Neodiprion lecontei: one gene and its partner. Each later gene encodes a partner of the first gene's protein in a complex. Links are inferred from orthologs where the notes say so. Each region holds a gene or a part of one and is shown in the gene's direction. Other genes may lie near its edges.

Region 1 (3,796 bases):
ATTGAGCTCAACAATGTAGAATCCGGTAGATGATATTCCATAGGTAAACAATCGCGATTCGGGGGTGGGACTGAAGTTGGTACCAGTTCTGGACCAGTATTAAAAATATCTGAAGTAAGGCCAAATTGCATATTTGGAGGTGGTTTCGAAAAATCAATGCCTGATAATTCTGTTCTCATATTTTCTGGCAGGGTAGCGAATGTTTGTTGAAAATTCACATGCTGTGTGGGTAATTCGGTATATAGTGGCATCGGTCCGATTACATCTGAACCACTACTATCCGATGATTCTGTGTCAGCATTGCTAATCACTTGCTTAGGCATGGTAATCTGTGATAACTCTGTAGAAGTCTCAGAATGCGGAATATGACTTTGTTGATTATCCGTGCCATCGAGTTGATCGGCCGTTTTCTTTGTGCCACATTCTTCGATAATAGCAGGACTTTCGGAGGTTTCCTCATTTTTACCAGATAAGCTATCATCGAGCGATGCTGAGCTTTCATCCTTGTCCTGATCGGTATTCTTGGATTCTAAATACCCGGAACTTCTAAAATTATTGTATAAGGGGGCAAATTCTTCATCTCTATCTTTTCTCCGCTTGTAGACCCATTCTTCTTGCGACATCTCATACCACTGTGTTCTTTTACCAAGCAGTTCGCCAAAAGCTTTTATCTTGTTCTCAATTTCGATAAGTGAATTTTCTTTCCTATATTCAATTATTTTCCTCTCATCAGATTCGACTTTCTCTTCAGTTTCTGCTTTAACTTCCATCTTGTCTGTATTCACCTCATCATTTTTCACGAGTTCCTCGTCCGTGGGCTCAGGGGGCAGTCCAGCCCTTATTCTCTGTCGTATTCTAGCCGCCTTTAGCCTGTTCTGTTCCATTTTGTCTTTCATTTCCTTTAGATTTTGCATTTCCTTTTGTTTTTGTATGGTTTCCTTTCTCAATGCATCCAAGTTTGCTTGCTGCTTCGCTCGCATTTCTTCATCCTGGGAAAATTCGTAGTATCCAACGCCGTGGGCTCTCGCTTCGTCAAAGAGAATGTCTTGATAATGAATATTCATTTTCTCAGTCAACTTTTCCGTTTGCTCCTCCCATTTTCTTCGCATTATTTCAATCTCTGGCTCTTTCGGAGGTGTGACAACATCTGGAGGCCTGACATCCTCAACTTCGGTATCTCCTTGGGACTTTTTCATGACTTCGTGCTTTACAAAGTCATCTTTTTTCTGCATTGTCGACAAATCTCTACGGAGGCATTTCCTTGTCCGTCCAAAGCAGTCTTCGTATTCAACCCAGTCTTCTTCCGGGTCAGAGTTTGCATCTTCATAATCATCCGAATCGAATTTCTCATCTTCTGACTGTGGTTTGTTACCAAAGTCGACCAGAAAATGTTCGTTTTTATTGCTGTGTGACCTTTTCAAATTTTCGTAAAGCCTAGCTTTTGCTTCGAGCATCAACTTCGACTTTTTGTGAGCTTTTATATCGTCGGTGTCAATTAGTTCTTTTTCAATTTTTACTTTTTTCGTCTTGGACTTTTTAGTCCTAACCTTGTGCTTAGACTGTATAGAAGTTACTTCCGCATTTGCTTTCGCGTCTTTAACTTCGGTTTGTTTCCTCAGAAGCTCAGCTTTCAAACCCACTAATGATGAATAATTCACGTTTATTTTCTTTGAATTATTCATGTTCAATTTTAAATCATTTGACGTTTATTACCATTTCACTGTTTACTGACGTTTATATACGTATATTGGCAGGAAGGGCAGGAAGATTCTGATTTGTCTAACCAAACCTAACCTAACTTAATTTAGCTTGCATACTTTTGATGCACTATATTATCGACTGCGTTCGAGATGGTAAATACGGTTTGAATACAGACACGTATGTATGTACGCGCTATCGAAAATTAGTTGTAAAAACCTCCGTCGGCTCAGAGGACGCTAGTACACAGCTCGAAAATTTTCTGACGTTTCCTTTTGATCCGGGTCCGGTGGTTTTGGCTGTGCCCTGTTTCCGTCGTTCCTTCCTTCCTAACCTAGCTGAGTACCGTCCTCCATCTGCCTATCTATCAAGCACGGTTTTTGTTAAATTGAGTGGTTGAAATTTGCAACGCTTCGTGCACAAGAGAGGTGATTTTTTAATTGAACAAAATGACAACGCGAGGGCAATCGAGGAGGATACCGGAGACGGAGTCCCGGATAGATTACGTTCAGACCGACGGTTTGGCAGTGATGAAAATGGTGAAACACTGTCATGAAGAATCCACGAGCAACATGGAAGTCGCTCAGGGTGCTCTGCTTGGTTTGGTTGTCAACAATCGGCTGGAGATCACCAACTGCTTTCCGTTTCCCAAGAACGATGAAACCATGGATGAAGAGGAATATCAACTTGCCATGATGCGCAGGCTGCGTAGAGTGAACGTCGACCACTTTCACGTTGGTTGGTACCAGAGCGCTGACGTTGGAAACTTTCTGAGCCATCCTCTGTTGGAATCGCAGTTTCACTATCAGACATCCATCGAAGAGTCAGTGGTGGTTATTTACGACACGGCCAAGTCTGCTAGGGGCTTTTTGACACTAAAGGCTTATCGCTTGACTCCACAAGCGATCCAAATGTACAAGGAAGGAGAATTTACGCCCGATGCGCTGCGCACGTTAAAAATTGGCTACGAATCTCTATTCGTCGAAGTGCCGATTGTCATAAAGAACAGCAATCTTACAAACATCATGATGTCTGAACTAGAGGAAATGATTCCCGAAGAAGAAGGAACCAAGTATCTTGACCTCGGTACCGCCACGGTCCTGGAAAACCAGCTGAGGTGCTTGATGGACAGAGTAGATGAGCTGAACCAAGAAGCTATTAAGTTCAACCGTCATCAGCATTTGGTTATTCGTCAGCAACAAGACAAGAATCGTTTGATGCAAAAGCGGGCACAGGAGAACGCAGCCAGGGCTGCTAAGGACGAGGCGCCTCTACCCGATGACGATATCAACAAGCTGCTCAGGCCGTTGCCTGTTCCCCCCAGGCTGAACCCCATGATCGTTGCTGGACAGATAAACACCTATAGTCAGCACATATCGCAGTTCTGTTCTCAAAGTTTGGCAAAGTTGTACATCACCCAGAGTCTACAGAATGCCAAGGAATCCAAGTCTACCAATTAATCTGTAGCTTATTGTGCAGAGACTCGTTGTATTCCAATTGAAAACAATAAAACTGTTTTCCTTTCAAACCATTGATTGGACTAATTACTAAACTAAATATTATTTCTTCTTTTTTCTTTATATTACAGTGTATTCAAATTATTCCAAACGGTTTTTCAATACTTATTCTTAAAATTTGTGCAATCTATGGTATCAATTTACAATATTGCCAGTGTTGATTTATTATTTGTATATTTGATAAGTAAATATGAAACGATAAATATTTTGACTGCAAGATCCTGGTCTTTGTTGCAATCGTTTGCCACGTCTGGGCTAGTTTGGGCCAGTATAAAATAGAATCCTCATAGCAGAATGGTGCAATTTTCTTCCCCGGAAGTCTTCCATCAACCGTTATTGGAATTAAATATATATATATATATATATGTATATATACATGCTCTTAATTTTCGCATGCAAAATCGGTACATAGTATATAGGCGCATAATGCAGCGTTACAATTCTGCTTGGCATCGGTAATTCCGCAGAACAGCTTCTAATTCCTTTGTTGGTAATGTCAGGTTACCGTATGCTTCACTTTCAAAGTTGCAGCCGTGCTTTCAACGAATGGCTCAATCTCGTAACGGGATTCTGCTTTGTCG
Region 2 (4,918 bases), on another chromosome or scaffold:
GTAAGACGTAAGAGATTTGCTCACTAAAAGGTCTTCAAAGATTTCAGGAACAATTTAGTTCAGATAAATCACGAATAATGCAAGAACTAATACATATTGTAAAATATAAGTCATTCAAGTTTCAATGAACAGAAAAATCCTAAATTGTTACTTACGCCAAAGCTGGTGGGATTGTAATGCGTCTTTTCCCGCCAGTCTTCATTCCTACAATACCGATATCCCATCCTTGAATGACTTCATTTTTCCCTAGACGGAACTTGAATCCATCTCCCTGACTGCATGAATCAAATTTTTTCCCATTTTTAAACCGTCCTACATAATAAACTGAAACAAATTTTCCAGCCTTTGCCGGAGGGCCAGACCCAAGTGTTAAATCCTCTATTTGTACACCACCTTCAATTACTCGTTTTTTTTGTTCCTGCTTTGAAGCTTGGACTTGCTGTTCAAGTTTGTTTTTCTTTTGTTGTTTAGCTTGCTGTTTCTGATCTTGTTTGACATCTTTGCCGTTCAGTAATTTCTGCTTTTCTTGCTTTTTATTCTGTTGTTTTTGTGCTGGTTGTTGTTGTTGTTGTTGTTGTTGCTGCTGCTGCTTTTGTTGTTTTTGTTTCTTTGTGGTTGATGAGGGTTTGACTACTTCCTCCTCTTCCTCCTCTTCATCCCCCTCGTCGTCATCATCATCATCATCATCATCTTCATCCTCCTCCTCTTCCGCGTCCAGTAGCGCACTTTGCAGTTCATCTGAATCACTCCCATCATCTTCTTCATCTAGTTCATCATCGTCATCACCTTCGTCAGAAGACTGTTGTTCTCCCTCCTCCTTCAGACGTTTCAAATGATTCTGAGATTGTTTAATGGAATCTGTGGCCTTGCGTTTACTTGGTTTACCAATGAGCTGTGGAATGTCCTCCTCTTCTTCTTCTTCTTCTAGTTCATCATCTAGGTCATCTTCTTCTGGTACTAGATATCCTGTCAAATGTACAAGACCGCTACCATTGGAACTAAAGGCTATTTCGGTTCCTTCTTGAAAATTGAGATCCAACGGAACCTGCAGCGCAGCTCCTTTGTTCAGTGTGCATAAAAGAAAAGTCCGATTCTCGTAATGAAGCATTACTTGAACAACCCCAGTATACGAGCCTTGAATAAGAACCGCATGATTATAATAATTTGAAAAATTCATATTGGATTCGGTATCGAAACGAAAAATAGAAGATTCCTACCTCCAGTATTTGTGTCCAAGCTCGCCATGGACACGTGAAACGACCGTTCTACGGTTTGCGTGTACCGTTTATTCGGCTCTATAATTAAGCCTGAAACAAACATTAACATACTTTTAGGTGGTTATATTTATTGGTCATTTTTTAATTCGGAATGACGTTAGACGAGGAATTTCATCCTCGCGTATGGAGCTCTTAGCCCGCACGCTGTGATAATCTTTATTGGAGATCACATGGCGACGCCATTCTTGAAATAACCGGCAACTCAGATCTGCTCAGATCAGGGGTAACACATGGCACTTGTTGGTACTTACCCCAAAACATATTGGCTATTTTGACCTACAATAAACGTTGCAATAAATTTAATGAATCAACAATCGTTTTCACTACTTCAATAATATATCACCGAAAATAAAAGAAACGCATGCACAGTTGATCAACGGTTTCCCGGTGCTCGGAGTTAGATCCTACTCGCGCCAAGATGTGATTGAACCGGCGGTAAAGGAACAGGCCATGAACGATTGAAGAGACTAGATAGGAATTGGTCATCATTTTTTTCATCTGGTACGATGAGTTCATGTTGATTCCTCGAGAGGCAGTACCAACGGTACCCTGATGAAATGAAAACCAAATCCAGTTTTTTCATCTGTAATGATCAACAAAACTTATTTTACAATATACAGAAATATTGACCATGCTGATGAAACATTTTTTTGGCAATTTTCGCATCACAACTTCAGTATTGTTTCAAATGAGGGCAGCTATTTTGCGGGCAAAACAACATTAATCACCGGACGTAAATGAGAACGAGAAAAGTGAGACACAACAGTTCACAACTGTAATTGACTAGAGGTAGCAGGATTCAGTGTTTGGGTTTACGATCTAACAGCGTTATTGTAATTATAGCCAACGTCTCTTGACCACTTTTGACCAACTTTGACGCACCAAAAATGGCGCTTAACCTCATTGTCAAGGTGCACCCAGTTGTTTTATTTCAAATAGTCGATGCCTACGAGCGACGTAATGCGGATACTCACCGTGTCATCGGAACCCTGCTTGGTAACAAAGAAACACAGAATAAACTTTCGACTACTCGTACGGTTTCTCAGAAATTGTGATAGCGGATAGACGAATGAACGTCGGACGTCACCTTCTACATGTCACATGTTTCCATATTATCAATCCTTTTAAACATTATAATTTATTAACGTCACGTCTACTGCAAATGTGAAATTTCAGCGAAATCTAAAAAGAATTGAATTCCCTAAAAATTTCTATACTTTTTCCTTGCAATTAGTACTCAAATTGTCATGTAAGTTCAGGTATTGTCTCGACAGAACGTATTTATCATGATTTTTCATAGGGACGGTGGAGAAGGGCATTGTTGAAGTAACAAATTGCTTCTGCGTACCTCACAAGGAATATGCAGATCAGGTCGAAGCCGAGCTGAACTACGCAATGGATCTGTACGACTTAAATCACCGAGTAAATGCCCAAGAAAGCATAGTGGGTTGGTGGGCTACTGGAAAAGAGGTACAGATGTCAAGAGTTGTGGTACTTTGCTTCCCATCTCAAATATATTTACAAGATGATAATAATATCCAAACAGTGAATGTGTTGGCTAATTTAATCAGACTTGAAAAGTATGCTCTTGATTTTAGCAACATATGTTTATTCATCAAGTTTTTTTCCTTGTGATCCAGGTTACCAATCACTCATCTGTCATCCATGAGTATTATGCCCGAGAATGCAATAATCCAGTTCATTTAACTCTGGACACAACAATGGCCAACACTACTAGAATGGGTATCAAGGCATACGTATGCGTCCAATTGGGTGTGCCAAATGGCAAGCAGGGTTGTATGTTTACACCTGTCAGAGTTCAGGTAAAAAAAAAATTTATGCAACTAGTAATTTAGCAATAATAGGTCAAGGTTTTATGAATTTTTACTTGTACTATGTTTCTGTGAAAAAACTAATTTTCATTATTCATCTCTTGGAGTCTATAATACTATATTGTGTTAGAAGTGAGTAATTGTGAAGTTTGCACCCCGAACAACAAAGGCGAGTGCTGCAGTTGCAGGAATACTAGTGCAAATGCAGCATGAGCCAAGGCGAGCACTGTAATAATATGATTAAGCAAATTTTTCCAATACCTGTAAAGGAAGTTCGATTTAAGAAGCACCAAATGAGCCACTCATAGCATATCAAATTGTGATTATAGAACATACGCTTAATGCAAGACACTGCATTGAGCAACGATTGAGTTGGTCGAAAGTACGCGTGTGCCCAAGAAATCCCTAGTATTTGCGCAAAAATAGTTTCATCACACTGTTCAAAATTGGGACACTTTACGTATGCCCCATAGGCTTCAAAAATTTAACCTGCCAAGTAGGTGTCGAAAAAATTCTTGTCTCACCTTTTTCAGGTACAGCTGCTGGTAGTTGCTCTGTTTGGAGTGGTAATAACTTGTACTTTTACTTACAACAGGTCACTTCTTATGAACCTGAGATCGTAGGGCTACAACTATGCGCTAAAACACAAACTTTACCTCCGGGTCAAGCACTTTCAAAGCAGGGGGGAGTAGAACCAATGTTAGACCTGGCACAAATAGCAGAAGCTAGCACTAAACTACTGACTTTGGTAGACCAAGTCCTCAATTACGTAGATGATGTTTTGGCAGGCAAACAAATTGCTGATAATCAGGTAACAAATTGACGTAGATAGCAGTAGGAATGAAAATAATTCAAAATGTACTGGGCAATATTTCACTTTCTATAACAAGAAATTTGGATGACCTTTGTACATGTTCGCAAGTACTGTACAATCAAGTATTGAAAATAAACAATTGAATAAAATAACATAAAATTACAGGTTGGGCGAGCCCTGTTAGATATGGTACATTCGGTACCTAAAATGTCAGCTGATCAGTTCGACCAAATGTTTAACAGCAATGTCAAGGACCTCCTCATGGTTGTTGCTCTTTCCCAGTTAATCAAAACTCAACTACAGCTGAACGAGAAGCTCACCCTTCTGACTACCTTATGAGCCAAAACTAAGCTCACCAAATAAACAGCACCAAGTAAAGCTAAGAGTAATGTATGGCTCCAATAAAAATCTGTAAAAACAAACTGATGTAACTAAATTGCTTAATCTAGTTTTTTATACATATATACATAACACATATATTTTACAAAACATCACAGTAGAAGATTCTTGAACGTTTGAAACTGTGCTTATTTCTACCATAGCTTCCAAACGTCGGAGGTCGTAGTTTGCAGAAAACCGTCTTGTGTTTTGTTTTATCACACAATGTTTTGTACAATTTGCTAATATTGAACCATAGTATATTTGTACGACCAAAATTACAAACTTTTCAAATCTTGCATATACGTTAAACCACATTATCACGCCTTGGAGCTTGTATTTTTTTTATATCTCTTTGTGACTGTATAGAACAAGGGCAATTTTAAAATCCTGGAAATATCGATATTGGTTATGGATTTAATCCAGTAAGTAAGTTTGTAAAAACACTTTCATATATCATCCACTAACTCTCTTTCAGAATTTCAGTATAACCTAATGTTGTCAGTAATTTGATTACTGTGAATTGTACCGTGCTTCTTCATTAGGCCTGATCAGGGAAAATCTAGATTCAATCGACAGGAAGGAGGAAACTACCAGTCCGCATTGAGTGCACTTCT

Evidence for each region.
Region 2: eukaryotic translation initiation factor 3 subunit H (region 1) and eukaryotic translation initiation factor 3 subunit F share a complex: the UniProt entries of both Caenorhabditis elegans proteins name them as parts of the eukaryotic translation initiation factor 3 (eIF-3) complex. The link is inferred for Neodiprion lecontei from reciprocal best matches to the Caenorhabditis elegans genes eif-3.H and eif-3.F.

Annotation. Positions count from the first base shown.
Region 1 is NC_060262.1:35,038,173-35,041,968, forward strand, and holds eukaryotic translation initiation factor 3 subunit H, read left to right. Parts: upstream 1-1,957; 5' UTR 1,958-2,147; coding exon 2,148-3,158; 3' UTR 3,159-3,229; downstream 3,230-3,796. Other genes in the region: coiled-coil domain-containing protein 174, read right to left, coding at 1-1,682. UniProt on the Caenorhabditis elegans protein: Component of the eukaryotic translation initiation factor 3 (eIF-3) complex, which is involved in protein synthesis of a specialized repertoire of mRNAs and, together with other initiation factors, stimulates binding of mRNA and methionyl-tRNAi to the 40S ribosome.
Region 2 is NC_060265.1:19,772,841-19,777,758, reverse strand, and holds eukaryotic translation initiation factor 3 subunit F, read left to right. Parts: upstream 1-2,112; 5' UTR 2,113-2,164; coding exon 2,165-2,273; intron 2,274-2,577; coding exon 2,578-2,747; intron 2,748-2,917; coding exon 2,918-3,100; intron 3,101-3,704; coding exon 3,705-3,920; intron 3,921-4,088; coding exon 4,089-4,262; 3' UTR 4,263-4,345; downstream 4,346-4,918. Other genes in the region: 46 kDa FK506-binding nuclear protein, read right to left, coding at 156-1,134, 1,218-1,307, 1,529-1,538. UniProt on the Caenorhabditis elegans protein: Component of the eukaryotic translation initiation factor 3 (eIF-3) complex, which is involved in protein synthesis of a specialized repertoire of mRNAs and, together with other initiation factors, stimulates binding of mRNA and methionyl-tRNAi to the 40S ribosome.